7 linked regions of the Coturnix japonica genome follow. The protein of the gene in region 7 binds, or shares a complex with, the protein of the main gene of each other region. Links are inferred from orthologs where the notes say so. Each region holds a gene or a part of one and is shown on either strand. Other genes may lie near its edges.

What was found.
Region 1: the proteins of VCP (region 7) and VCPIP1 are in contact, whole or in part, in a cryo-EM structure (PDB 9DIL), measured with the Homo sapiens proteins. The link is inferred for Coturnix japonica from reciprocal best matches to the Homo sapiens genes VCP and VCPIP1. Residues at the interface, in NP_009057.1 of Homo sapiens: Asn589, Asp627, Asn750, Arg753, Lys754, Met757, Phe758, Gln760, Thr761; in NP_079330.2 of Homo sapiens: Trp609, Ser620, Asn621, Val622, Tyr623, Asp624, Gln645, His649, Leu652, Thr655, Ala656, Lys657.
Region 2: the proteins of VCP (region 7) and UBXN2B are in contact, whole or in part, in a cryo-EM structure (PDB 8B5R), measured with the Homo sapiens proteins. The link is inferred for Coturnix japonica from reciprocal best matches to the Homo sapiens genes VCP and UBXN2B. Residues at the interface, in NP_009057.1 of Homo sapiens: Arg113, His115, Glu132, Leu140, Ile182, His183, Cys184, Glu185, Glu187; in NP_001071087.1 of Homo sapiens: Phe215, Ser216, Gly217, Glu218, Gln220, Leu222, Gly223, Leu225.
Region 3: the proteins of VCP (region 7) and UBXN7 are in contact, whole or in part, in a crystal structure (PDB 5X4L), measured with the Homo sapiens proteins. The link is inferred for Coturnix japonica from reciprocal best matches to the Homo sapiens genes VCP and UBXN7. Residues at the interface, in NP_009057.1 of Homo sapiens: Val38, Leu51, Phe52, Arg53, Gly54, Asp55, Ile70, Leu72, Pro106, Val108, Tyr110, Leu140, Glu141, Ala142, Tyr143, Pro178; in NP_056377.1 of Homo sapiens: Arg418, Tyr419, Pro420, Asp421, Gly422, Arg424, Leu455, Asn457, Phe458, Arg460, Lys462, Gln480, Glu481, Thr482, Phe484, Val485, Gln486, Asn489.
Region 4: the proteins of VCP (region 7) and RHBDD1 are in contact, whole or in part, in a crystal structure (PDB 5EPP), measured with the Homo sapiens proteins. The link is inferred for Coturnix japonica from reciprocal best matches to the Homo sapiens genes VCP and RHBDD1. Residues at the interface, in NP_009057.1 of Homo sapiens: Asn33, Asp35, Val38, Phe52, Arg53, Gly54, Asp55, Thr56, Ile70, Leu72, Tyr110, Pro137, Tyr138, Phe139, Leu140, Glu141, Ala142, Tyr143, Arg144, Pro145, Ile175; in NP_001161080.1 of Homo sapiens: Ser300, Glu303, Met304, Arg305, Gln307, Arg308, Leu309, Arg311, Phe312, Asp313.
Region 5: the proteins of VCP (region 7) and VCPKMT are in contact, whole or in part, in a crystal structure (PDB 7OAT), measured with the Homo sapiens proteins. The link is inferred for Coturnix japonica from reciprocal best matches to the Homo sapiens genes VCP and VCPKMT. Residues at the interface, in NP_009057.1 of Homo sapiens: Arg239, Gly280, Glu283, Ser284, Arg287, Lys312, Arg313, Glu314, Lys315, Thr316, His317, Gly318, Glu319, Val320, Glu321, Arg322, Arg323, Ser326, Gln327, Leu329, Thr330, Asp333, Pro355, Ala356, Arg359, Phe360, Arg362; in NP_078834.2 of Homo sapiens: Arg14, Ser15, Phe16, Val17, Arg18, Gln32, Tyr33, Ser34, Ser35, Gly36, Gly37, Val38, Val41, Trp43, Asp44, Ile47, Val48, Leu97, Asp144, Tyr147, Tyr148, Glu174, Arg176, Thr177, Met178, Gly179, Lys180, Asn181, Glu209, Tyr210.
Region 6: the proteins of VCP (region 7) and UBXN6 are in contact, whole or in part, in a cryo-EM structure (PDB 8FCO), measured with the Homo sapiens proteins. The link is inferred for Coturnix japonica from reciprocal best matches to the Homo sapiens genes VCP and UBXN6. Residues at the interface, in NP_009057.1 of Homo sapiens: Pro23, Arg25, Ile27, Gln43, Asp47, Gln50, Leu51, Phe52, Arg53, Gly54, Asp55, Leu58, Lys60, Gly61, Lys62, Arg64, Leu72, Glu80, Lys81, Gly97, Val99, Ile100, Ser101, Gln103, Pro104, Cys105, Pro106, Asp107, Val108, Lys109; in NP_079517.1 of Homo sapiens: Pro279, Ser280, Pro281, Ala283, Ser284, Phe286, Glu287, Leu288, Phe292, Phe293, Asn294, Leu295, Glu299, Ile300, Arg302, Glu303, Gln304, Leu306, Arg307, Ser308, Val311, Leu314, Ser315, Val316, Leu317, Arg318, Thr319, Lys320, Ala321, Met322.

The regions. Positions count from the first base shown.
Region 1 is NC_029517.1:104,312,226-104,314,936, reverse strand, and holds part of VCPIP1 (deubiquitinating protein VCIP135), read left to right. Parts: intron 1-395; coding exon 396-1,264; 3' UTR 1,265-2,711. UniProt on the Homo sapiens protein: Deubiquitinating enzyme involved in DNA repair and reassembly of the Golgi apparatus and the endoplasmic reticulum following mitosis. Necessary for VCP-mediated reassembly of Golgi stacks after mitosis.
Region 2 is NC_029517.1:101,289,820-101,292,496, forward strand, and holds the end of UBXN2B (UBX domain-containing protein 2B), read left to right. Parts: intron 1-239; coding exon of another isoform or gene 240-345; exon of another isoform or gene 346-466; intron 467-567; coding exon 568-730; 3' UTR 731-2,177; downstream 2,178-2,677. UniProt on the Homo sapiens protein: Adapter protein required for Golgi and endoplasmic reticulum biogenesis. Involved in Golgi and endoplasmic reticulum maintenance during interphase and in their reassembly at the end of mitosis.
Region 3 is NC_029524.1:3,593,472-3,597,759, forward strand, and holds the start of UBXN7 (UBX domain-containing protein 7), read left to right. Parts: upstream 1-1,488; 5' UTR 1,489-1,524; coding exon 1,525-1,597; intron 1,598-2,639; exon of another isoform or gene 2,640-3,784; coding exon 3,785-3,932; intron 3,933-4,288. UniProt on the Homo sapiens protein: Ubiquitin-binding adapter that links a subset of NEDD8-associated cullin ring ligases (CRLs) to the segregase VCP/p97, to regulate turnover of their ubiquitination substrates.
Region 4 is NC_029524.1:7,758,242-7,762,344, forward strand, and holds the start of RHBDD1 (rhomboid-related protein 4), read left to right. Parts: upstream 1-1,303; 5' UTR 1,304-1,390; exon of another isoform or gene 1,391-1,398; intron 1,399-4,103. UniProt on the Homo sapiens protein: Intramembrane-cleaving serine protease that cleaves single transmembrane or multi-pass membrane proteins in the hydrophobic plane of the membrane, luminal loops and juxtamembrane regions.
Region 5 is NC_029520.1:52,362,561-52,366,828, reverse strand, and holds the start of VCPKMT (protein-lysine methyltransferase METTL21D), read left to right. Parts: upstream 1-1,468; 5' UTR 1,469-1,501; coding exon 1,502-1,710; intron 1,711-1,787; coding exon 1,788-1,898; intron 1,899-2,000; coding exon 2,001-2,073; intron 2,074-2,206; coding exon 2,207-2,326; intron 2,327-3,446; coding exon 3,447-3,551; intron 3,552-4,020; coding exon 4,021-4,035; 3' UTR 4,036-4,268. UniProt on the Homo sapiens protein: Protein N-lysine methyltransferase that specifically trimethylates 'Lys-315' of VCP/p97; this modification may decrease VCP ATPase activity.
Region 6 is NC_029543.1:1,643,137-1,647,313, reverse strand, and holds the start of UBXN6 (UBX domain-containing protein 6), read left to right. Parts: upstream 1-1,377; 5' UTR 1,378-1,466; coding exon 1,467-1,549; intron 1,550-2,168; coding exon 2,169-2,323; intron 2,324-2,565; coding exon 2,566-2,627; intron 2,628-2,771; coding exon 2,772-2,903; intron 2,904-3,124; coding exon 3,125-3,222; intron 3,223-3,459; coding exon 3,460-3,535; intron 3,536-3,621; coding exon 3,622-3,706; intron 3,707-3,904; coding exon 3,905-4,124; intron 4,125-4,177. UniProt on the Homo sapiens protein: May negatively regulate the ATPase activity of VCP, an ATP-driven segregase that associates with different cofactors to control a wide variety of cellular processes.
Region 7 is NC_029547.1:7,821,650-7,825,149, reverse strand, and holds part of VCP (transitional endoplasmic reticulum ATPase), read left to right. Parts: intron 1-73; coding exon 74-176; intron 177-2,628; coding exon 2,629-2,762; intron 2,763-3,000; coding exon 3,001-3,136; intron 3,137-3,500. UniProt on the Homo sapiens protein: Necessary for the fragmentation of Golgi stacks during mitosis and for their reassembly after mitosis. Involved in the formation of the transitional endoplasmic reticulum (tER).

The sequences.
Region 1 (2,711 bases), on a different chromosome or scaffold from region 7:
TCTCTTTGGATGTTTCCTGTTGGTGGGTTTTGGAGGTTTTTAGGGGGATCAGTGGTGAGCTTTGGGTGATGATGGTTTTTGGCTTTCCTGGTGTTACTGCAAGCTGATGCTGTTTCTTCAGCTTCTGTTGCATTGGAGCTGCAGGTCCTGCCAACTTGGTTATTTTATGCAGTAGTACTTCAGTCCTGTCAGTTTGTTAGAATCAGCATAGACAGCAGCAGTGCTGTGGATGGTGACATCATATGGCTGTAGTTGTTTTTTTCCCAACAGCAAAAAGTCTGTTTTCTCTGGTTTGGCTGCAATAACGTTAAGTTCAGTAATTGCTGTGTATTCTGAGCATGCCTTAAAATATGGCAATGTTTTGAAAACCCTTTTTTTCTTTTTTATCTTTATAGGTTTGGTTGATGGCAAACACTGTACTTTTCCACATTTGCCTGGTAAAAACTTTGTGTACAACGCAGCAGAAGATCGATTAGAGCTGTGTGTGGATGCTGCTGGGCACTTTCCTATTGGTCCTGATGTCGAAGACTTGGTTAAAGAGGCCTTAAGTCAAGTGCGAGCAGAAGCTACTTCACGGAGCAGAGAATCAAGTCCATCTCACGGAATGCTGAAGCTGGGTAGTGGTGGAGTAGTGAAAAAGAAATCTGAACAGCTACATAACATAACTGCATTTCAAGGAAAGGGCCATTCGCTAGGAACTGCATCTGGTAGTCAACAACATGATCAAAGAGCCAGGGAAGCACCACTTTTAAGAAAGCATAGTACAGAAACAGACTTCAGTCCTGCTAAAATTGAGCCTTCTGTATTCCCAGCTGCTTCTGGTAAGAGTGAGCTGATCCGAATAGCTCCTGGAGTTGTGACAATGAGAGACAGCAGGCAGCTCGACCCTACTTTGATTGAGACACAGAGAAAAAAGTTGCAGGAGATGATCTCTTCTATTCAGGCTTCAATGGATAGACATTTGCGGGATCAGAATACAGAGCAGTCAGCATCAGTTGATGTATCTCAAAGAAAAGTAGAGGCAGCGAGTTCAACTGCTAAAACTGGGAGCTTTCAGGCTGGCTTGCCTGAATCGTTTTCTGCACCGGGTGGTACTGAACACTTGAATACCGAGTCAGCTGGTGATAACATGGTGAATTCTGTGGGAGCAACTTTCCCTGCAAGGTCTAAAGCACAAAAGGGAAATTCTGTTGAGGAGCTTGAGGAGATGGATAGCCAAGATGCAGGAATTGCTAATGTAACTGAGCCAATGGATCACTCTTGATAGGTTAAAATCTAATAAGGCTAGAAGAAATTACTGTTCAAATGTAATGTTTATTGGCTGGGCCACACAAAGTGATTAGTTATTAAATCTTGTATGTATGTCAAAAAATTATATCATCTTATTCAGTGCATGATAAGCAAGTGTGTGATTGGCAATAGCTTTTAATATTACCATACTGCTACCCAGGCTGGCTCTGTTACCTGTAAATTAGTTATTAGGAAATGCACTGAGATGAATATCTGCTGTAATGTGGGCTATTGAAAGTTCTTTGTGATTTTTAATTCCAAGTCAGTCTTAAATTTTAAGCCCATGCGAGATTCTTGCCGTGCTAGTTGAGGCTACTGGAAAGGCTAAACCAGGCAAAACTAGGAACTTGACAAGGTTAATCCTGTCCCAGGTACTCAGTTCCACTCCAGGATACACTATAAACATGAGCTACATGTATATTTCAATAAGCAACTGAAACGCAGCTTGTCTTAAATTTTACAATGCGACATACACATGACTTTAACTATGTTGTATTGGCACTTCCTCAGATGCAAAAAGGTTTTCATTCACACAGCTGTATATGCTTGTCAGAAATCTTGGGATAAGTGTAACTGTAGTCAACTCTAATTTCTGCATGTGTCAGGTTAAGCAAGTGAGAAGAGTGTACGATGAAGATGAAGTGAAGGTGGTGTGGTTATGCCTGGCTGTCTGAGTCAGCACAGCCATTTTGATGCTCTGTTATATCTCCTCCCAGTTACTGAGCTGGTTCAAATGTTTTACAATATTAAATACAACAGCAGGAGGGAAGTTGGCAATTGTAAGAAACAACAAAAGTTCATTAGCAAATCAGTTTCTCTTAAAGGGCTTCAATTACCGGCATTGGTCAGTAACTGGCAGAAAAAAACTCCAAAACCCAAACGAATAATAGCTTCCCTCTTCCGAGCAGATTAGTGATTTATTGGAAGGAAATGTCTCTCTAAAACATTGTTTTCCTTCCTTGGGTGTTCCTTAATACATGTTATTTCATTGGCTATAAAGACTACCCACCTCGATTGGCTTCAGTTTGTGATGCAGATTTCCCTGTCTGTAACATTATCGCTGGTATCCAAGTAAGTAGTGTGTTCATCAGACCTGCAGCGCTAATTCTTAAGAAGGAGCCATTGTGCTCGCTCCCTAAGGATGGAATGTTTATCTGATATTGCACTTTGCTTCCTATCTTCATAGTCACACTTAAGTGCACTGTTGTTGCTTCTTCTAATGGTAAAATAACATTGAATGGATGAGAGATGCTAATGCAGCTTCAAAGGAATTAAGAGCATTTAAGATACTGAAGTCGGTGTTTGTGCACATGTGGGGTTTTTACCAGTTCAGAAATGTTTGTATTGTAGATGTTCGTATTCAGAGAAGTCTCCACTTTTTACATTTCTAATCACTTAAACCATTCTGAGCATTGGATGCA
Region 2 (2,677 bases), on a different chromosome or scaffold from region 7:
TGAGAGAACTTTGAGCAGAAGGCAGAGATTTGGGTAGCAGTTCTACCCACACTTGGTAGCAGGCAAGGCTCAAGTTAATGCACTCCAAAATGTGCAGCACTGTGTTAGAACACAGCTGAAACTTGTCTTGAAAATGATCTTAGTTATCTTAGTGTGGACTCAGTTTCTTTACAAAGCTGTTATATGGCTTTGAGAGTTCACCTGGTCTCTTTTTCTTTTCCCTTCCATTTCTGTCTCAGAATAAGGGCAGAGCCAATGTGCAGCTTTCTTCACCTGACAAAATACATAGACTACAAGAAGGTAATTTCAGCTGAGATGCCAATAGACAAGAATTTGCAGCAATAACATCTCCTACTTCAGTAGGCTTGATAGTACCAGCCCAGGCTCTTCCTTCCCAGCACCAGTTCGAGAAATTACTTACCAGTATGGATGAAATTGAAAAGTAAAACCATTAGGACATATTAAACAGTTTTTCAATCTGTTATTGTGTTCTTAGTCTTCAGAGATTCAGGTTGGAATGCAATCATGTCTATATGCACAGCTTTCATGTCCATATCCCTTCCACAGGATTAAAGATATTCGAGATTTCATTATCCAGTCCCGTCCAGCATTTGCAACAACTGATTTTGTTCTTGTGACGACCTTTCCAAATAAAGAGCTAACAGATGAAAGCCTGACTCTACGAGAAGCAGATATACTTAACACTGTGATTCTTCAGCAACTAAAGTAATCTTAGAGCCATTGCTACAGTATGGAGTCTGTGCTGTATTGTCATACAATGTTTTCAGTAGATGAAAAACAGAAGGATCGGCATCTTTATTCTTCCACTTCCATAGATCAGATTCTTGATTTTCATGTCTTCCAGCTATGGCATATCTTATTTTAATTTCTCAGCATTGTTTAACCCCTTTTCAGTGTTAAAATTGAGTTTCCCTGTGTTAGTATGTTTCAAACAATGGCATGTATGAGATGTGAGCTATCACAGTGACTCTTCATTGTTTTATGGGGGAGGGGGGAAGAAGCATTTTACTGGAGGGGAGAGAGTATTTCATACGGTTGGTAAGATTTGCACTATGGAAATGTTTTATGCTGCATTGACAAACAGCCATGTGAAAACTTAGCCTGTAGGTTATGTTTACCTTCTAAGCTGTATTAACATCAAGGTATTATGTTTGATAGGTTGACAGATAATTAATGCTGTATTATAAGTTTTGTATATTCTGTTTCTAGTGTTTCATCGTGTAGTATAATTATTTATATTTTAATTCTTATGTAAATATCCTTATATTGTTGTTTTGAGAGAATCAGTATCAGGAGATGCAAAGCTCAGCTCTAGCGGACTATAGTAGCGTTCTCATTTGTATTCTGGTTGTTCTACTTGTGGTGTAAACTATGAATTTCTTTTCTTCTGAAGTTAAGGAAGTGAGAAAGACCGCTGTCATCTGAAGAACTGCTGTGATGTAGGTTTTGTGATGGTAGGTCTCTGGTCACTTTGAACTTGAACCCTGTGCAGCTGTGTGATTCTTCACATGAACAGTTACTTAAATAAAAACTACAAAGGTGCACAGACACAAACATTGTTTATTCAGTCATTTGCATGCACAAAAGTAGATGTGTTAATTGATTGTGTGGCTTTGACCTGAAAGTCAGATCTTTATACTTGGAATTTTGGCTAAAGACCTTTTGTAATATTCAGTGGGGATTTAATTGTGCAACTTGCCATTATACACTTCCATTGGAGGCTGTATAATTAAACCTCTTAATCTTTGAAATCACATATATATATTTCAAATAAAGTGGTAATATGTAAGTAGGAATCTTACATAGTGGGTAGACTGGCTGCAGATTTATAATATTTGTGGCTTTATATCAAATGAATGGATCAGACTCTGAAGGAGGGTAAATGGTCTGTATTCTTTGTACAGATATATGTATTAAAAATCCTGTTTTCACTGATTATTTTACCTTGCAAATATCAACACACTTATTTATGCATAGCTTTATCTTTGGTTGGTATATCAGATTAATCTCAACTTTTCATCTCAAAGCAGAAGTTTTCGTAAATTTTAAATGTGCAGTTGTAATTGAAGCCATTTGCTTTTGTAATCTGTTGGCATGATTTAATCATAATGCATTTAATGTGCTGAGTAAATAAACTTCTACGTTAAAAGACCGTAGGCAGTTTTTGTTCGTCTCAGTTTCTGTTGTGTCGAAGTGCTGATTATGTTGCTTGCCAAATATAAAAGATATTCAGGCCTACATGGAAAGGGATGGACACGCACTATGCTTGTGTTTTATACATTTATATTCTACCTATAAATTTGAGGTCAGAGTCAGTATTGTGAAGCAGACCATAGGCAGTCTGTGCTTTGGGCTTATTTCAGCTCAGAATGTAGGTGCAGTTCCACTGCTTATTATTTCTGAAAGCTGACATTAAACACAATGTTTAATCAAATAATATTTTTTTTCCCTCTTGCTGTGCCAAAAAACAGCTCATATTATGACAGTGTTTATTTCAAGTAGCTGGTGAATGTTAATGTTCAGTAGCAGCTGATAGGATCTAGGAGCCCTAGTAGTTGAGTTTATTTTGTCAAGCATTAGGAATACATGTCAGTGCGTGAATTAAAATATTTCACTGCCTCTAAGTACTTGAAAACCTCTAGAACTCTTATTCTCT
Region 3 (4,288 bases), on a different chromosome or scaffold from region 7:
GAGACTGAGGCTTTACGAGGCACAGGCACTGTTCTGTTAAACCAAAGGGTTGTGTTAAACTGAAGGACGTGACTGGAATGTGGTTTATTTGTTGAATTGCATTGTTTGCCTGGCAGTTAACAGGATTGTAACCAGATAAGCTAGTCTTGCAAAGGCATTTTCCCTCTCTCGCATCCTCTCACAGAGTAACCCCTTTCTTAGGCAAAGGGGAAAGAAAGGATCATTCTTCCACAGTCAGAGGCAGGGATCTCTCATAGATGCCAATGGCAGAAATGGTTGTGGGCTCGCATTTACTTCTGTTCATTTTTGTTTTCTTGTTGTTGGCAGCCTGTAACTTACACAGTCTTGCCTGCATTTACTGCTATTTAACTTTCATGTGCAAACTGACTCGAGTCTGATTCTAAGCACCTAATATTCAAAAATTATTAGTGCAGGAGACAGTTATGTTGGAGAAAGTAAAACCAAAAGGGGGAAAAGCCATTCGAGTTAACAGTATTGACTGTATTTAACTTCCAGCTGGCGTTCAGCTGCTCTGCCTGGCTGTAACTGTTGCTCCGTTGTTATTATTTTCTGTCTTCCAGTTGAGTTTGATAGTAAAATAATTCAAAAGAATTTCAGTTTGGATGTTCTGTGGAGCTGACAGCTCCAAGTTGAGGCCTTGGGAGCAGTTTGTGAGCTGCTAGTCAGCAGGTAGCGGCCCTGTTACATAGTTCTCTATTTTGCTATTGTGGAGCCCAGCTTTTGGCTTTTCTTTGGATGCAGCGATATATTTCTCAAGTGTATGTTGTTGGATGAGTGCAGAACAGCAGCTGAAACCCGTGTGCCCTTTGCTGAATAGCAGACGTTCAAGAAAGTGCACTTTGAGGTGTTGTGGATGATCCGTAGACTTGAACTCAGCTCTAGGAAACTTGTAACAGATGTTTTTCACGTCACCTTGATGGCACATCTCTGCTAACGTTGGGTTCCTCCTCAATAAGTGGAGAATTCAAAGAGCCTTCTTGAGAAAGCTATTACAGGTGACCTGCTGCAAATAGTTCATTATCTCCCATTGCTGCCTCAGTCGTAGCGCTGGAAGCCTGTTTGTTATCGACCCCTTTCTGTGTAATCCTTATTTCAGTTTGCTTTCCTGTCACCCAGGCAATCAGATGGAATCCGTTGTTGATTACAGTGTTCTTCAAGGCAGAAGTACTGACTGCCTTCTGTGCTTAACATACTTTTCCTGTCACGATGAGCATGCAATAAGTAAACTCTATTTCCAGAACAAGCCGAGTTTTGTGCCTAAGTCTCAATCCAACCCCGTCTTAAATCATCCCACTTGCTGTATCCGTTTGATTTTTCACTTGTTAGTAACTCGATGCCCGTCCCTCTGGTGCCCGTTCCCCCTCACCCCCCCCTCACACAGCCCGGTTCCCGCCATGCCGCCCCGCCCCGCACGGCGGGGCCGAGGAAGGGCGCGGGCGGGTTTCGCGCTTGCGCAGTGCGCGCGGGCCGGCGGCGTGCGTGTTGTTGTGCGGCGGCGGCAAGATGGCGGCGCACGGGGGCTCGGCGGCCTCCGCGGCGCTGAAAGGGTTAATCCAGCAGTTCACCGCCATCACGGGTGAGGCACACGGAAGGCCGGGCCCGGCGCGGCTCCGAGCCGCTTCTCGCTTCGTCGAGCGGCCGGGATGGAGGAGGAGGTGGAGGAGGAGGAGGAGGAGGAGGGCCGGGCGCGGTGAGGCGGGGGCCCGGCGGGGCGGGGGGCCGGGCCTGTCAGCGGGGCGGCGGGTGGGCGCGGAGCCCGCCCCGGGAAACGCGGCTCCGGAGCGTCGGGCAGCAAGACCCGCCGGACCGACAGCGGTTCGGAGAGCGGGACGGCGGCCGGCACCACGGCTGGGATAAGGGCCCGCATCGCTGAGCAGCGTCCTCTGGAAGTGACCGTGCGGAGCATCGCGGGGTCGGTACCGCGCTCAGCAGCGGGATGCGGCCTGGACACGGGGCGTGCTGCGGGCAGCGAGCGGGACGGCACCTGCACACCGCAATGCTGCGGGGTTACGGGGCGTGGGATCTGCTGACAGGACCCTCGCTAGTATGAAAGATGTGTCTGTGCTTACAGCGTGCCCCGGTGTGTGTCTGATGTTTTCATTCTCAGCAGTGCCCCAAGCACTGAGAGCCAAGCAGAGCTGTGCTGTTCGCCCAGCAGCCCTCTGCTCGTGTAGGTGGGTTATGGAGATGTCTAACCCTGCTCCTACGCTCCGAAACAAGAAAACAAGAGGCTACTGGGCTCTGCCCGCCCACTTCTGAAAGAGGGGTTTGAGGTTCTGTCTTGTTGTTGTAATAGGATGTAAGGTTCTGTTTAGAAGGGAGTTCTTGCGGAGCTGTCTGACCCTGTGGCGCAGTGACAGGTGCTGCACTACACACCCTGTGTCGTCAGCCTGCACCTCTGGTGTGACCCTGCTTTCCCAGGGGTGTACACTGGATGCTCCAAGCCCTGTGGTGCTGTGTAAGTGCGCAGAGCTACCCATGTTTGTGTGGAAAAGGTGAAACAAAACCCATCCTGCCATCTGCTTCCAGCACACCTGATGGTGTAGAATCACAGAGTCACTGCGCTTGGAAAAGACAATATAAACATCAAATAGAGCTGTCAGCCCATGCCTACTCACCCATAGTCCTCAAATATAGTTCTCAGCAGATGTTTTGTGATGCTGGTTTCCTTAGGACTGAGGAAGATTTGGTACATATATATTCTGGTCCTCCTGAATGAGCAGCGCAGGGTGGCTGTGCTCTTCTATTTTGATTAAGGTCCTCAAGCACAGCCAAGTACCACTGAGGTGCTCTTGTGGCAGGTTGGTTTGCAGTGGGTTTGTTTGGAAAAGCAGTTACTTTGGTCGACCTGGCTTTCTTTGTGATGTAATGTAATAGCTCAGGTCATTTAGTGTTGCTTTATCTCAGCAGACTCAGTGTGTGTTCAGCGTATCAATCTGTTTAATCTAAAGCTCCGAGGACTTCCTGGAAAATCTCAGAGACACCCAATGGAAGCAGGTTAAATGTGTTTGCTCAGAGTGGCGTTAGCTGTCATTCTGATGCTGGGGAAATGGAGTTTTCTTCATTTCAGTGAGTTGTGGTGAAGCTGGTAAGAATTATTACAGACCAAAAGCTGCTCCCAAACTGGTTCGGCTGCATTTTGCCACTTTTCTTCTACACCAGCTTTTCCATATTAAAATAGACTCTTTGGCAGCCTCTACCTATAGAAACTTAGTGTAGTAAATGGGCTCTTAAAAGGTTGGATGCAGGAGAGATTCATTTGGTGAAGGTGCTTTTGTTGTCTGTGTGGCTTTGAGGAAGCTTTAGAGGCAGACCCTGTAAGGGAGAACAACTAACAATTAACTGAGCTTCTGCTTGTTTGTTTTTGCCTTCTGGAGCACTCAGTGAAACAGGGAATCTTTAGTTTCTATCTTTACATATCTGTTAGAGGTGGGTAAAAACCTTTGGCACTGGGTATAGTATTCTCACTGTTAAAATATTAAATCAGTTGGTTGTTTTGTTTTTTTCCATATAACACAATAGAAGTCAAACTTAATAAGCAGAATTTTCTCCCGATGGAAAGGGGAAGTGTGGCTGTTGTTTCCTTTTCCCTTGAGGTGCGTGTTTGTCTCACCTCATAGTTGTGCCTTAGGGATAAATGGCACCTGCTCAACTGCTCTAATGGTCAGTGCCTTAAAAGAGAAAGCTGGTTAGCTGTTCCCGTTGCTTCTGATCAGAATGCTTTACAAAGAATGCTTCAATATATATTTGCTTGGCATTGCAGGTGCCAGTGAAAGCGTGGGAAAACATATGCTTGAAGCATGCAACAACAACCTGGAGATGGCTGTCACCATGTTTCTGGATGGTGGAGGCATAGCAGAGGAGCCCAGCACCAGCTCTGCAGCAGTGTCTGCAGTTCGACCACACACCGAGTACGTACTGCATAAAAATGAGTAGTCTGTCCTATAAGTTTCATAGTGTAAAGACAGATCAGTTAAAACACTTGTTCTTTCTTTGGACCTTCTGTCATCTCAGTGTAACATGTGCTTCTTCAATGATCTCATTTAATTGATTGCTTTGATATTTTTCTTAATAAATAAGTTTATCTTGCTGCACAAGCTGGTCTCTCTTGAGTGTGCTTCAGAAGTTTTCCATTGCATGCACATGCTGTTGTTGCAGGCATAGCTCGAGTCATTGAAGTGAGGATCCAGTGAAAAGTGGGATCTTCTGGCACATCAGTAACTTAATATTCAAGTTTTTGTTGGAATACTTTCCTTTTTATACTGGA
Region 4 (4,103 bases), on a different chromosome or scaffold from region 7:
CTTACTTAACCTGAGCCTACAGTTGTTCCCATGACTCCTGTTATTTGGGCTTTATCAGGTAAGATAGAAAATATGATTGAACAGGATGTTAAGAATGCAGACCTTCCAGGACCCAGGAAGCCACAACCTCAAGTCTTGTACATCCAGTAATAAGATCTGAGCTAAATACTGCATGGTTAAGAATTACAGCCTGGAGTTACGGTGGCATGAAACTCAAGGAGGCCATTACAGAAAGTGGTGCAATTATAGAAATCCCGGTGTATGTTAGGAATGCCAGAATGACAGATTTTCTAACTCCCAAATCCGCTGATTTCTATGAATTATCAAGATTAGCATTAACTGAGGTAACAGATCTCAACGTGCCAGAACTGAAGGTCTTAGGACAAGGTGTGTGGATGGTGGCACGCTCAGCATGCCCTCCTCGTTTGGCTCCTGTTTGTTCTTGGAAGAGCAGTGTGCTGCAGTTGCTTGTTTTGGCACAGGCTGCTCCTTTAGCTCCATCCCCACCCTGTTTCTAGGAATCCAGCCCCTTCCACGCCTGCCAGTCTGCTGAGCTGTGCTGCTTTTGGAAGGGCGGGTTGCAATTTTTGGATAAATACGGTGACGTATTTGTGTGAATTGCCAAGAAGTTGTGAGGAACCGAAGTGCTGCAGAGCTGGCAGCCGTGTGCAGGTAGCTCAGGTAGCTCTGGCTCTGCTATTTGTACCACTCATTTCTCATCACACACTGGCACCACCAGCCACTGTGATTCCCTAATTCAGGCTCCTACGTTTTCACATAATCACAGAATGACCCGGGTTGGAAGGGACCTCAAGGATCATGTAGTTCCAACCCCCCTGCCTGGCAGGGCCACCAAACATACACCTTTACTAGATCAGGTTGCCCAGGGCCCCGTCCAACCTGGCCTTGAACACCTCCAAGGACGGGGCATCCACAACCTCCCTGGGCAGCCTGTTCCAGGGCCTAACCACTCTCCTAGTGAAGAACTTCCCCCTNTCTTTTAACTTAAAACCATTTCCCCGTGTCCTGCCATTGTCAGCCCATTCCAAGAGTTTACTCCCCTCCTGGGAGTAATTTCCCTTCAGGTATTGAAAGGCTGCAATGAGGTCACCCCGCAACCTTCTCGGATGTGTCCTTCTCTGGATCTATAGTGTCTGAATAAAAAGCTGAAGCAGTTGAACCGTCCGACTTACACAGCTCATTACACACCATCGCGTTGCCGCACCTCACTCCACCTGCTGCCCCTCCGCCCCATCACAGCGCACGGCCGCGCCTTCCCGCCGCTGTGAGGCGCGGGGCGGGGCGGGACGGGGCGGGCCTCGAACCCGCGGACTGGAGGCCGCGTCACGTGGTGCGGTGCCGGGAGCGGGGCCGCCGCTGCGCAGAGAATGTGAGTGAGTGAGTGCGGGGCGGGGCAGTGCGGGGGGATGGGGGCTGTGCCGCCGTGTGGTGCTGGATGTGTCCGATACCCCCGGGAAGGGGCGCAGCGCTGCCTCCCAGCCGCCATAGCGCTCTGCCTTTTCTTCCTTGTCCTCCTCCAGCCGTGAGGAGCGGGCGCTGTTGGCTCTCCTCCATTCAGGCCCCGCCCGGCCGTGCTTGGCCCCTTCCGTTCCGCCGGGTTCCCCCTCACCCGCTGCTGGTGGCAGCCCGGCGAGTTGTGGTTCCTGCGCTGCGCTGTGGCACCGTGTGGGTTCCCCTCCATCCCGTCTCTGTGGGGTATAACGCTGTGAGAGCGGGGCCGTGTCAGCGCTGATAGGCCCTATCTGCTTCATGCAGCTCCTGAGCTGGGCTACGTTTATACAAATAACTGTTTGTTTTTGTACTTATTGCCATAGCTGTTAGAAGGGCAGTTACTACCAGTTATGAGACAGGACGCTAAAAACATGTATCACAGAATTATCAAGGTTGGAAAAGACCAAGAAGATCATCTAGTCCAACCATTAGCAATACTTCGTGGCTAGATCTTGTATTACTTTGTTCCACAGAACAGAGAAGGAGCTTAATGTATCCATTGCTTCCCCCTAGAAGGTGTTTGGCTGGTATCTGCCTTATCGCAGAGGTTCAAAAAGAGCTGATGTTTTGGGGGGATTATCCACTGAATTGCTTTTGCTGCATCAAAAATGCTTTGTCTGTTTGACAGCACATGACAGATAGATTTAGGAATACAGGGAAAATGCTCTGGATGTTGCTTTTAGCATTTCTAAGTGATGAAACCAGCAGCAACGTGTCACGTGGCTCCCGAGTGAATCTGGAACAGGTTTTTTCCCAGTGAAGGAAAACACGGAATTCATTAATTTCTAGTGAACTTGGTTTCAAAGGAGAGATACTAGAAGGTCTCCTGACAGGAAAATCCATGAAGGTTTCTGTTTTTGTCTGTGCTATGCTACAACTGTAGCAGAATTCCTATTACATGAATTTCTATGAGCCAAAATGACTCTTTTTGATGGTAAGCCTGCGTAACTAGAATGATCTGCACCTATGAAAGGAGCGTGTGTGGATAAATGCCTTTCTCTGTACGTATAGATATACCTGCACAAAGGCAATACGTAATAAGAACATTAGGTTGTTCCACCTGGGGAGCTGGTTTATATTGCACCATGAGAAGTGATGTGAGCTTTCTCTCCAGAGGAGGAAATAGTGGATCTTGGTAATGTCATTGTATCTAATGTTACAAAGCTTGTTGTAGCTGACAGCTGTGTCCGACCTCTTCCTTGCATACATATTAAATAAAAGCAGGATGGTTCACTATATTTAAAATCTTTGTGCTTTTTCTTGCATTTATTTCTTCTTGTTTTGTTGATTCTGCCTTCCTTGGCCCCTCTCAAAGTTTCAGGCCAATAGTACGGGCGTGTTGCTGATGCTTCCTGTGTAAAACTCCTTTTGCTTTAAAATCACAGTTTCTGTTTTGTTCTTTCTTGGATATAAGGCTTTGTACTGAGTTTGTTTCTTCGTAGATGAATAGTGACGGTCTGCTGGGCTTTATCTGCAGTCTGAACCAGTTCATGCTCAGGATCAGATGTTCGCCCTTTTCATCCTTTACATGTTTCTAGTGCTGTGGTTTTGTTTTTTGTGTTTGATTTGACCTAACTCCAAAGAGCAGGACGTGCCGTGCAGGTAGATGACAGCTGTATTACCCTCAGTGGAAATGAGAAGCATTTCTCCTGTCTGTTTGTAATATCTGGGCTTACCTCGTAGCACAGGTGTTGAGGAGCAGGGCGATGGACTGGGTTTTGTTTCACATCAATGTGAATCAGTTTTAGAGTGAACTTTTAGATGTTTAGAGGGGGTTTAAGGAGAATCTTCAAACTATAGCTGTAGTAGGAATAGACGGCTAGATTTTGTTTGGACTACAGTCCAAATGATGAAAATATTTACTTAACGGCACGACTTTTCAGTAATCTGAACTCATAGTATTTTATGGCTGTCAGGCCAGCCGGGGAGTTTGTCACAGTAAAAATAGCAGTTCTGTGCTTTGCTCTTGGTTAGCACCAAACTGAAGGATTCTGAGAATGTTTCGGTCAGACCTTTATCTTGAGTAGGTGACAAATATGCAGACACGTGGCAGCCGAGGAGCAGCACAAAGCGACACAAAGGGCTCCTGCAGGGCCGTGCTGGAAGTCTGTGCCTTTTGAAGTGGGTGGCATAGCTCAAAAAAAAGAAGAATAAATGCTTCATTGTTTTAAGTCTTGTTAGACCTCTAGTGAACAGAGTAGAGGCTGAGAAAGAATGTTCAGAGAGCTGGAAATGTATTGCATTAACTAAATAACTAATTTGTTTTTCTTTATATGTTTGTCATTTATAATCAACTACATGAAGTGTTTTTGGCACCCACTTCTGTTTGCTCCCAGTAGTAGGAAGGATTTACAGTACATAGTGTTGCTGCAGTCGTGGTGTAAAGCCTTCCCACTCTCACATGGTTATGGTGCTGCGTGCAGGTTGTTTTTCCTTGGTGTGTGTATGTTAGAAGTATTAAAACTGGAAAAGAAAGACTGTCAGTAGATGGGGAAAGCTTTAAAAAGTGAGACTATGTACTATTTGGCAATCTGAACAATGTGGTATGGCAAGAAGTTGGGGTTTCCACGTAGCCTGTGTTTAAATTGGGT
Region 5 (4,268 bases), on a different chromosome or scaffold from region 7:
CTCAGCTGCATTCCCCAAGCATGAAATCCTGCTCGTACCTTCACAGGAGTTCAATGGCAGCCTATAAATCACAGCGCAATGCAAAAAAAGCAGCCTTGCTTACGGCTCACTCACCGCACAATTAAACCCTCTTCCAAGCAAAACAGGAGCTGGGAAATGCCAACAGGAAGGAGCGTTCCAAGGCGGCGATGGAGCAGCAGCAATGCCAGCAGCACAGGAGCACGGCGGGTACAGAAACACACGTTCCCAAAGTAATGCAGTGCTGGGGCAGCAGCAGATTCCCACCAGTGTGGTTCTGTGGAATGCCGAGATAGAGCAGCAAACTGACATTTCAGCTGCTTTGTAATTAGAGGGGTGGATAAAAAGAGTAAAAAATGCTGGGGGAGGAATGTGAAATTGCTGGGTTTGGAGTTGGCTGCTGTGGGAAAAGGCAGATCCTGACAACAGTGCGGATAAACAGCTGGAATGGGAGAGCCCTGAAGAGGAAACGAAACGCCCCTGGGTGCTGCAGGGAGCACAGCCTGCAGGGACGGAGTGCGTGCAGCTCCTGTGCTGGAGCCTGCATGGTTCCTGCTGGCACTGAGACCTGGCTGCAGCACAGCAAGAAAGACAGGGCAGGGAGGGGAACTGTATTTTATTAATTCCTTTTTTCCCATATTTTAACATATGTGGGGCTCTGGATGCAGTTTGGAGTCTTGCAAATGCAGTGAATGCTTCTTGGGGAAGGGATGGGAGCATTGGTAAAGAACTGCAGCACTGAGGGACACGATGTGCTTGGTGGGTGTGGGGAATAATCGAACCATCACAGCATGGCCTGGGTTGCAAAGGCCCACAGTGCTCATCCAGCTCCAACCCCCTGCTGTGTGCAGGGTCACCAACCAGCAGCCCAGGCTGCCCAGAGCCACATCCAGCCTGGCCTTGAATGCCTGCAGGGATGGGGCATCCACAGCCTCCTTGGGCAACCTGTTCCAGCGCGTCACCACCCTCTGGGGGAAAAACTTCCTCCTAAGATCCAACCTAAACCTCCCCTGTCTCAATTTCAAACCATTCCCCCTTGTCCTGTCACTGCCCACTCTCACAAACAGCCGTTCCCCCTCCTGTTTATACGCTCCCTTCAAGTACTGGATGCCCACAATGAGGTCTCCCCGCAGCCTTCTCTAAGCTAACTCAGCCCAGTTCCCTCAGCCTTTCCTCATAGCAGAGCTGCTCCAGCCCTCACAGAACACCTTGGGTTGGAAGGGACCTCAAGGACCATGAAGCTCCAACCCCCCACCACAGGCAGGGCCACCAACCTCCACATTGATACCAGCCCAGGCTGCCCAGGGCCCCATCCAACCTGGCCTTGAACACCTCCAGGGATGGACGGGGCATCCACAGCCTCTCTGGGCAGCTGTTCCAGCACCTCACCGCTCTCACACTCTCATTCCCCCCATCCCCGCCCGCCGCTCGGTTCCACAGCCGCCCTGTGTAGGAGGGGCCGCGCCGTCTCAGTGTAACGGCCATGTCGGGCTTCGTTCGGGAGCTGGAGCTCCGTTCGGGCCCGTCGCTGCGGCTGTTGCAGCGCTCTGGCGGGGTGGGCTGCGTGGTGTGGGACGCGGCGCTGGTGCTCGCCAAGTTCCTGGAGACCGGCTCGTTCCCGCTGTCCCGCCGGGCCGTGCTGGAGCTGGGTTCTGGTACCGGCGCCGTGGGCATCATGGCGGCCACGCTGGGGTGAGCGCGGCGCCGCCGTCGGGGGCTGCGGGCGGGACCGTGCGGGCTGCGGGCTGACGGCACCGCGCGACACTCAGGGCCGACGTGACGCTGACCGACCTGCAGGAGCTGCAGGAGCTGCTGGCCGTGAATATCGACAACAACCGGCACCTGGTGACGGGGTCGGTGCGAGCCGAGGTACTGAAATGGTTTGTATGGGACTCAAATGGTTTGTATGGGCCCCGGGGGACGCGCCCGCCCCGCCCGCCCCGCCGCCGCTCGGCCCAGGCTCACCCCGAGCCCCGTTACAGGGGGCAGGACGTGTCCGGGTTCCGCCCGCCGCCAGATTACATCCTTATGGCGGACTGCATCTACTACGAGGAGGTAACGGGGCGACGGACGGGACGGGGGGAGTGAGGGGGAACGGCCGGTGAGGTGACCTGCAAAGGGGAACCGTGGGCAGTTCAACCCCTGTGGGCAATTCAACCCCTATGGACAATTCGACCCCTTTGGACAGTCCCTGGAGCCGCTGCTGAAGACTCTGCGGGAGCTGACGGGCCCCGATACGTGTGTGCTGTGCTGCTACGAACAGAGAACCGAGGGGAGGAACCCGGAGATTGAGAGGAGGTACTTGGAGGTGAGTGAGTGAGTGAGTGAGTGTGTGTGTCTGTGTGTGTGTGTGTCTGTGTGTGTGTGTGTGTCTGTGCTTCATGTGCAGCTCTTTGGAACGGCAGGACAAAGGGCATGGATTGGAGTGAAAGAGGGCAGGTTTAGGTTGGATGTCAGGGGAAGTTCTTTACTGTGAGAGCAGTGAGGTGCTGGAACAGCTGCCCAGAGAGGCTGTGGATGCCCCGTCCATCCCATGGTGTTGAAGGCCGGGTTGGATGGTCCCTGTGCAGCCTGTGCTGGCCATTTCTGTGCTGCTGCTTTTGGGCACAGAGCTGCAGAATGGCCCGTGTGTGTGTCAGAGCAGTGATTCCATAGCAGCAGGTCAGCAGGTGGCCGTGCTCTTCTTTCTGCACCAGCTGGTTGCTAACACACACAGGTTATGGGGACAGTTAAACATTAACCAGGTGAGAAGCTGTTTTCCTCTCACGTGCTCCATGGAAAGCACAGGGCGGGCTGCTCCACAAATCCAGCTCTGCAAACCAGCACAGCTGCATTGACAAGCAGCGCTGTGCTGCACTGTGGGTGCTGGTCCTGCTGGGATCCCTCGGACCAGCTGTGTGCTGTGAGGTCGGACACACAGCACAGCTCTGGCTGTCCCTGCTGGGCTGCCCCCATGTTGGGTTTGGCTCTGTGCTGTGAAGGCAGCCGCCCTGTGCCAGCAGTACCTGCCGTCAGTCGACGTGTTTCTGGATGATTTCTGCCTTCCCATAATTAATTTCCTTCCTCGGCTGGTCGTGGTTCAGCCAAGTGGATCCTGCAGGCGCTGTGTGTTTGTTTGCCTTTCCCTCCAGTTGTGAGGGCTGGCAGAGCCAGGCGGGCGCTGCGGTTTGGAGGCAGAAGGAAGCAAAGGCTTCTATCTAAAGCCTTCGATTCAGACCGTTTTTTAATTCACCCTTTAACTGATGCCTCCTGTTCTGTGCTGCAAGGTGTCTGCAGCTGTGAGCTGGCACTGGGTAGATGAGGGTAGATGAGCTGCACCAGGAGACTTGTGGCTTGTTGCTGTGGGCAGCTTTGTCACCGGGCCTGGCTTTGTGCACGCTCCGTTCCAAAGGGCAGTGCCACCCGATGACCCCACACTGTCCTCACAGCTGCTTCAGGTGGACTTTGAGCTGGAGCGAGTGCCCCTGGATCAGCACGACGAGCAGTTCCGCAGCGAGGACATCCACATCCTGAGCATCCGCAGGAAAACAAAGGTGGGTGACGGGGCTCCCTGCGCCTCAGCCAGCGCATGTGGCCAGCACTGAGCTGAGCTGCTGCTCATTGGCACCATTGGAGCTGTAAAGTGACTGTGAAATGCCTGAGGGACCCCGTGAAGCTGCAGAGCAGAGCTGTGCTTGCAGAGCTCTTTAGTTGTGAAGCACAGCGCTGTGCCAGGTGCAGCCTTTGTCCCTGTGAGCTGTGGGCTGCAGGATGAAGGTTTGGGGCACCCAAGTGTTACAAACACCACGCAGTGCTGCTCTGGGTGCCCTGTGCTCCGCTGCCCTCCTCCCCACCCCACTGCATAGAGCAGAGCTGGGCGGCCTATCCCAGTAACCTCACATTGCTTAACAGACAGATGCATAACAAAGGTATCTGCTGCTGACACATGGGTCCGGTGTTGAAACAAAGCCAGTCTGTTCTGACATTTGTACCTTTCTGCTTTCCCTTTCAATCTCTTCACAGAATTCCCCGTTGTGAGCTGTGTGTCGGCACTGCCCGTCCTTTGGCAGCTGGCTGGGACCCTGCTGAGGAGGGAACCCCACCAAGGACAGGCCTGCAGTGTTGGTGATGTAGAAGTGTCAGGTTGGGCCGTGTGCCCCCCGTGCACCTTTCCAATAGGAAGGACACGCTGCCTGCAGGCTCAGGCAGGGTGGGATGGGCTCACCATGCAGTGCTGCTGTGTGCTCCCATAGGCAGCACTGCCCGAGGAG
Region 6 (4,177 bases), on a different chromosome or scaffold from region 7:
GGGGGGGAGATATGGAGGGGTATTGGGGTCTATGGGGATGGGGGATCATAGGTTTAAAGGGGTCAGGGACTGTGGTGAGCTATGAGGGGGGAATAGGCTGCCAGGGAGGGTCCCCATGGCACGAAGGTGAATGATTTTGAGGGGGAAAAAGCAATGAGCAGCCATCTCGTTAGGGACAGATAAGCAAAATGAGCCTCCCAGAGCCATGGGATGGAGCTTTAGGGAGGTTAAAACCCATGGGATGGAGGTTAAGGCCCATGGGATGGAGCTTTAGGGAGGTTAAGGCCCATGGGATGGAGCTTTAGGGTGGTTAAAGCCCAGCAGCTCCATGGAATTGTCCTGATATAACCATGAGAGCAGGGCTGGGGGTATGGAAGGCATCCCTTAAAGAGCACAGCCATGTAGGGGAAGGTTGGATAGGAATGGAGAGCTTGCCCTTAATATAGGGGAAAGTTGGATAGGAAAGGAGCAGGGAGCATGCAGAGGAATTAGAGCTGATTTAGGATCATAGACCTGTGATTTAATGACCTGATTTCTGTGCTTTCACGGAGCCAAACCCAACCAGCCCATCTGATTCATCCTGCTTTAGCTCAGCTTTTAAGCAACAATTTGCTGCTGCATCCCAAGTGAGAAATGGAAGCTGGATGAGATGCAGCTGAGCCTGGTGAGGCTGTTAGCAAACACAACCCACACGTGTGGCAGGGATTAACTACGGAGCAATTACACCTATGGGAGAGGAGTGAGAACAAACTGAGTGTGCTGTGTTCCCTGTTGGGGGCTGCTTAGAAGGCCATAGGAAATGATGGAGGGGATCTGCCCCTGTGCTGGTTAGAGCTTACCTGGAGCATTGAGTCCAGTGCAAAAGAGACACAGACCTGTTGGAGTGTGACCAGAGAGGGCCATAAAAATGATGTAGGATGGGTTGAGAGCTGGGGCTGTGTATAAGAGGAGGCTCCATAGGGAGATGAGAGTGGTTTCTCAGTACCTATAGGGGCTATAGGAAACAAGGGGCTGCTCTTTAGCAGGGTCTGTGTGATAGGACAAGGGGAAATGGCTTCAGACTAAAAGAGGGGAGATTTAGAGTGGGTATAAGGACCCAAAGAGGTGTCTATGGGGATAATATGACTATGGATGGGGCTCTTTAAGCTGTGGGTGACCTTATTCTCTGCAGGAGTGTGACCAGATGGCTTTTAGAGGTCCATTCCAATTCAGACCACTCTGATCTGCATCTTGACCCACTTTACCTGCCCCATAGTGGGGCTGAAGGGTCCAACTATAGGACACCATACAGGTCCATTAGCCCCGGGGAGCCTGGAGGACCGCGCACAGAGACGGCTGGGTAGAACGGCAGGAAGGCGTTGCTGCCCCCACCTACTTCCGGGTGCGATCACGTGAGTAGACCGGAAGTGGGAGGTGGGTGCGGCCGGTACCGTTCCGGTGTTGGTTCGGGTCCCGGTTCCGTCGCTATGCGCAAGTTCTTCCAGGAGATCAAGGCCGACCTGAAGTTTCGAAGCGCTGGACCAGGCCAGAAACTCTCGGAACCGACTCGGTACGGGGCTCTGCACCGCCGGTAACCGCTCGGTACCGCCCGTTGGGCCCAGAGATGGAGCTCGGGACCGGGACGTCACGGCTTGGGGGGGGGCTGTGTTAACGAATGGGGCTGGGAGTGATTGGGATCCATTGAGTCCATCCAAGGGCTGGTTGGGATCCATTGAGTCCATCCAAGGGATGTTTGGGATCCATTGAGGCCATCCAAGGGCTGGTTGGGATCCCTACAACTTGATGTCCATCCAAGGTTGTTGGGATCCATACATTGAGTCCATCCAAGGGCTGGTTGGGATCCATACATTGAGTCCATCCAAGGGCTGGTTGGATCCATACATTGAGTCCATCCAAGGGTTGTTTAGGATCCATACATTGAGTCCATCCAAGGGCTGTTTGGGATCCATTGAGTCCATCCAAGGGCTATTTGGGATCCATACATTGAGTCCATCCAAGGGCTGGTTGGGATCCATACATTGAGTCCATCCAAGAGCTGGTTGGGATCCATTGAGTCCACCCAAGGGCTGGTTGGGATCTATACCTTGAGTCCATACAAGGGCTGGTTGGGGTGCTAAAAGCTGTTACTGCCGGTCAAGGGGCCCATAGAGCTGCGTTCTGTCCTGTAGGGTCCCCAAGGAGAAGCCGAAAGCAGAGGCAGCACCGAAGCCTCGACAAGGACCCACCGATGAAGCACAGATGGCGGCGGCGGCAGCGATGGCTCGGATGGAGCTGAAGCCCAAAGCGAAGCCACCTTCCTCCTACGAGGCCATAAAGAACCAGGGTAGGAGATTCCTCGCAGTTACAAGCCTGGCTGGGCTGCAAAGCTTTATCAGTGTTACCTCCAAGCTCAACCAGCTGCTGTAGGTCTGAGCGTAGAGTCCCCATCTTGGCAGCTGGAGCTGGCTCCTTGATGACGAGCCTCTTAGAAATGGGGTTAAGGCAATCAGCTGTGCAATGCAAAGCACTCTGAGGAAGCAGAGCTCTGTTCCCCTATTGCCATAACTGGGATTTTTTCTCTCCTAGTGAGAAAGGAGCTGATGGCTGAGGCAGCTGCAAGTGAGAAAGGGGTTTGTGCAGACCAAGAGGTACGAGCAGCTTGTTCCCTATGATAAAATGAATGCTTTGAGAGTGCTGTTGTTCCTGTCCTATAGATATATGCAAACAACCCACAGCAATCCAATACAATACAAACAATACAATTCAGTTGCACCTGCTTTTGTCTCTTTTAGGACCCAGCCTTCTCGTACAAGGAAGCTGCAGCTGAACCCTCTGTTTCAGGGGTTTATTTCATCTGCCCATTGACCAGCGCAGTTGTAAGGAAAGATGAGAAAGAAAAACACATCAGAGAAGCCATCCAGTCGGTGAGATCTACATCTGCAGGCTGTGCTGCTTCCATTTTAACTCATTTTGTGCATTAATCCCCTCAAGCAATACAGCAGTTACCCTCCTATCTTCTCCCCTATCTCTCAGACTGCAGGCTCTGTTCAGATGTTATAAGTGCCTGTCCCTTTGGCTTGCTATAAACGCTCTTTGATTGTACAGAATAGTCAGTCCACCCACGACTTCTCTTCTTCTTTCCCAGTATTTTGCAGTAGACCCAGTGGCCGCCTCCATCATGGAGATTCACACCTTTAATAAGGATCGGGACAAAGTCCGAGTGGGTGTAGAAACCATGGCCAAGTAAGTAGGATGGAGCACGCAGGGAGCTTGTCCCTTCCCTGGAAGGTTAACAGGCATTGCTGCACTCCAGGCAATGTCTGAGATGCTTTGAGTTGATCTACTGGTCCAAGAGGTTTAGGAGGTGCTGCTTGAAATGAATAGTTTGCTTTCCTTACTTTTCCATATGAGACCTTATGGGCAGCATGTCCTAAAGTGCCCGCTTTGATCCATGAAATACATAGATTCCTCTTTCTGCAGATACTTGGACAATATCTATCGGCATCCAGAGGAGGAGAAGTACCAGAAAATCAAACTACAGAACAAAGTATTTCAGGTGAGATCAGGATTGTTGCAGCTGTTCTGCCTGGGGAACTCATTGCCTGGAGCAGATTACATTTAATATTTTTCCTTTTCTTCCAGGAAAGGATAAACTGCCTGGAAGGCATACATAAATTTTTCCAGTCTGTTGGGTTTGAGACAAAAACACTGCCTGTTCCAGGACAAGGCAAGATATTTAAGTGTATTATAAAGTGAAGGCAGCAGCCTGAGTGATGGGACATCCCAGGGGAGGCTCTGAGAGCTTCACACTTCAGGGCTGTTTTACATGAACAGCCTCTGGTCCTGCTTTTTTCTTGTTAAGGCAGTAGGTTTTCTGGAGATTATTGCCCTTAAATTTCATATGTGAACGTGCTTTTGGTTGTAGACACCACTGAAGAATATTACGTACTGAAGGAAGAAATGCTGACCAGGTTGGAAGACCTTAAGTACTATAAAGATCAGCTTTTAAGCTGTGAGCCGCTGAGACTCCAGCTGGATCGCCAGCTCTGTGTATTTAAACCATCACCTGAAGCTGCCCGATTTGAGCTGCCAAATGACTTCTACAACCTCACTGCAGAAGAGATAAAACGAGAGCAACGGCTCCGGTGAGCAGGTTTCAAGTGAGGGCCTCCACTACCCAGGGGGCACGCAATGCCAG
Region 7 (3,500 bases):
GTGATTTCACTGTGAAGATTCTTAGACATTCTGATGCAAGTTCACCACCTAAGTCCCTTTTCTCTTTTCCCAGCCTCCACGGGGAATCCTGCTCTATGGTCCACCTGGCACTGGCAAAACACTGATTGCCCGAGCAGTGGCCAATGAAACTGGGGCTTTCTTCTTCCTGATTAATGGTAAGTTTTGGGTCTGCTTTGGAACAAGATATGCTGTGTAATCATTCATCCAGCTAAGGCAGCGAATGGTTTAAATAAGGCTCGTATAGGCATGTTGCCTCCTTGACATCTGTCCTTCTTTACCTCTTTCCGGTGCCCCTCTGTGGATGCTTAGATGCCATTTGTGCGGAAGCGTCTTTAGTGGCACTGTACTCAAGTGTAATTGTTTTGTTGCAGAGTGGCTGAAAGGCAGCTTTGTGTTGCAGGAACTCAGTCTGTCCGAGTGTTCATTTATGTTGTAGGGGCATGGCTAGGAGTGAAGCAGTGAGATTATTCCATGTATAGGTGTAAACTTTTTTCTTCTTATCAGCATGTTTTATTCCAAAAAAAAAGCTAGTCTGCATTGCAATTTTCTTCCCTTCAAATAAAGTACAAGACCTTGTAGTTTTCAAGTTTCATTTAACTTGAATTGGAAGGAACTTTTCCTGAAAGCTGCAGCGTGTGCTGAGGAACTTAGCTACAAATGACAGAACCTCATGCTGATCATTATCACTTACAGCAGTTGAGATAGATAGATATGAGTTTATGATGTCCGCTATGAAGACAAAATTCTGAATTTTCCTCACTGCTTTTCTCGCATCCTAGAATCACAGTATCATAGAATTGCTCAGGTTGGAACAGACTTTTAAAGATCAAGACCAACCACAACCCAACCATGCTACCCCAACTCTAACAACCCTCTATTAAATCATGTTCCCAAGCACCACATTCAGACCTTTTTTTAAACACACCCAGGGATGGTGACTCAACCACCTCCCTGGGGAGCCCACTCCAGTGCTTAACAACCCTTTCTATAAAGAAGTTTTTCCCTGATATCCAACCTAAACCTCCCTGGCACAACTTGAGGCCATTTCTTCTCGTCCTGTGACCTGCCACCAGTGAGAAGAGACCAACCCCACTCTTGCTGTAAGCGCCTTTCAGGTGTTGGAAGAGAGCAATAATGTCCTGCCTCAGCCTCCTTTTCCCCAGATTGAACAGCCCCAGTTCCTTCAGTCTCTCTTCATAGGGCATAATCTCCAAGCCCTTCACAAACCTTATTGCCCTTCTTTGGACCTAATCCATCACCTCCATGTCCTTTCTGTACTGAGGTGTAGCTTCTTTCTAATTGAAATCATAAAAGAGAGGTAAGGCAGCAGTTCTCAAGTACAAACATTCAGTTTGCTACAATAACTGAATGTTTGTACTTGAGAACTGCTGCCTTACCTCTTTTATGCTTTGAGTTAGACCCATGAAGCTGAAAGAAGCACAGCATAGCAGAGAGCGGCAGGATCTGCTTTTTAACTCAAGATATCATAGGAGTGACCAGTGGTAGCGAATTAACTTGCTTTTACTTCTGACAACTTCAGATATAAAGTGGGAGTCCCTACCCATATGTCACCCTTGTCTTATATTTTTTAAGTGTATGAAAGGTGTCACTGATAATAAGCCAGTCTCCAGAAACCTGTGATTCTGTTACATTATAAACATACCATCTTTTGTCATAATTAGTGATGTGTTCTCTGCTCATCCCAAACCTGAAGCAGCAGGTGGTAGACAGAGCTGGTGTGAATTGATGAGTTACCTGAAGTAAAACAGTACCTGCCTGCACCAGTGTGCTCTGCAGCTGGAGCACTTCAGTCAGCTAGCAGCTTTGCACTCCTGAGGGTCAGGTTTATTTTCCTTGGATCCTTCTGAAGAAGCATACTTTGTCTTCAGGATCATTCCCATAATGACGATGGAAAAAATCTAAACAAATTAGATTGGTAAGCGTTAGAGTTCAGCAGTTGTAGGAAATCTCAGGGGATCGCTGTCCTTTCTGGAATTGATGTGTTCGTATTTCTTTATGAGTTAATGTTTTGCGGGGAGGTTGCCTGGGGTGCTTTTGTGGCTGTTTGCTTCTGGGTTTGGTTTTTTTTGGTTATGTATGTGTGAGTTTGTTTTTTCTGTTGTTGTTTGTTTTGTTTTGGAGCTTACTTATAAGCTTGTATAGAGGTAAATGTTTACCTGTGTAATGCAAGCTGAAGACAGCTTCAGTATCTTACAGCTTTTTCCTTCCCTACTCTGATAATTCATCACCATATAATTTGATTGCTTTTCTTGCAAGCTAGGACTGGCATTAACAGTGTGGGGTGGCACATTACAGAGAAGCTCACCAAGTGTGAAATAGGGTAAGAAAAGAGGCAGCTAAAGGTAGCTCATTGACTAGTACTGCATTCTGTTAGAGTAAACTGAAAACACCAGAGTAACGATAGAAAGTAATTCCGCATGCTGTTCTTGCCTGTTCAGCTGCAGATTTAGTGAATTTGGTTGATAGTGTTTGCTTTGGCTTGAAATATAGATACTCCTGTGTGAATGTGGTACTGAAAAAATTCAGGTGCATGTCTTGGAGCTAGCTGCTTCTCTTCTGGGTGCCACAGAGCTGCTATTTTTTCAGGTCCTGAGATCATGAGCAAGCTGGCTGGTGAGTCTGAAAGCAACCTGAGGAAAGCCTTCGAAGAAGCTGAAAAAAATGCACCTGCCATCATTTTCATTGATGAACTGGATGCCATTGCTCCAAAGAGAGAGAAGGTAAAAATGGCCTTTGGGATCTAAAGAGGTATCTGTACACCCTCTTGGTAGCAACTGGCATGACTTTGTGTGCTTTGAGCGTAGGGTAAAGCAGCAGTTGGACATGAGAGGAACTGTGCATCTTTCACAGTGTTTCTTAGCAGCTGGTGGGTTTAGTGTCTGTCTGATATGGTGCAGCACTAGTACGTGTGCTGTGCTATAGAGCTTTACGTCTGATCATTGCTTTCCATCTCCACAGACACATGGAGAGGTGGAGCGTCGCATTGTGTCTCAGCTGTTGACTCTTATGGATGGACTGAAACAGAGAGCACATGTGATTGTTATGGCAGCTACCAACAGACCGAACAGCATCGACCCAGCACTCAGGCGATTTGGTAACTGTCTTATTAGCTCTGCTTTGTCTGCTAGATACTTTATTACAGACTGTGCTTCTGGGACCTTGAAAAGACTGAGCAGAAATTTAATGTTAAACTTTTTCTGTGTGGTTTGTTGACTGCTTGTTTGAGTTCAGCTTCTGGGGTTCTGGGCTTTGGTATGATTTTTTAGCCTTACTAGGTTAGAGCTTAGGAAAATAACAAAATACTTGAAATCTAATGCTAGCCTTTCTTGGCTGAGGGTAGCTTGGGGCACACTGAAGGAGTAAGTGGCTGTTTGAGAGGATGTTCATGCCTTAGGCTGCGGAATAATTTTCTGGCTTCTCTTAATTTTTATTGATGAGGAGTCAGGCAGTTTCTGAGA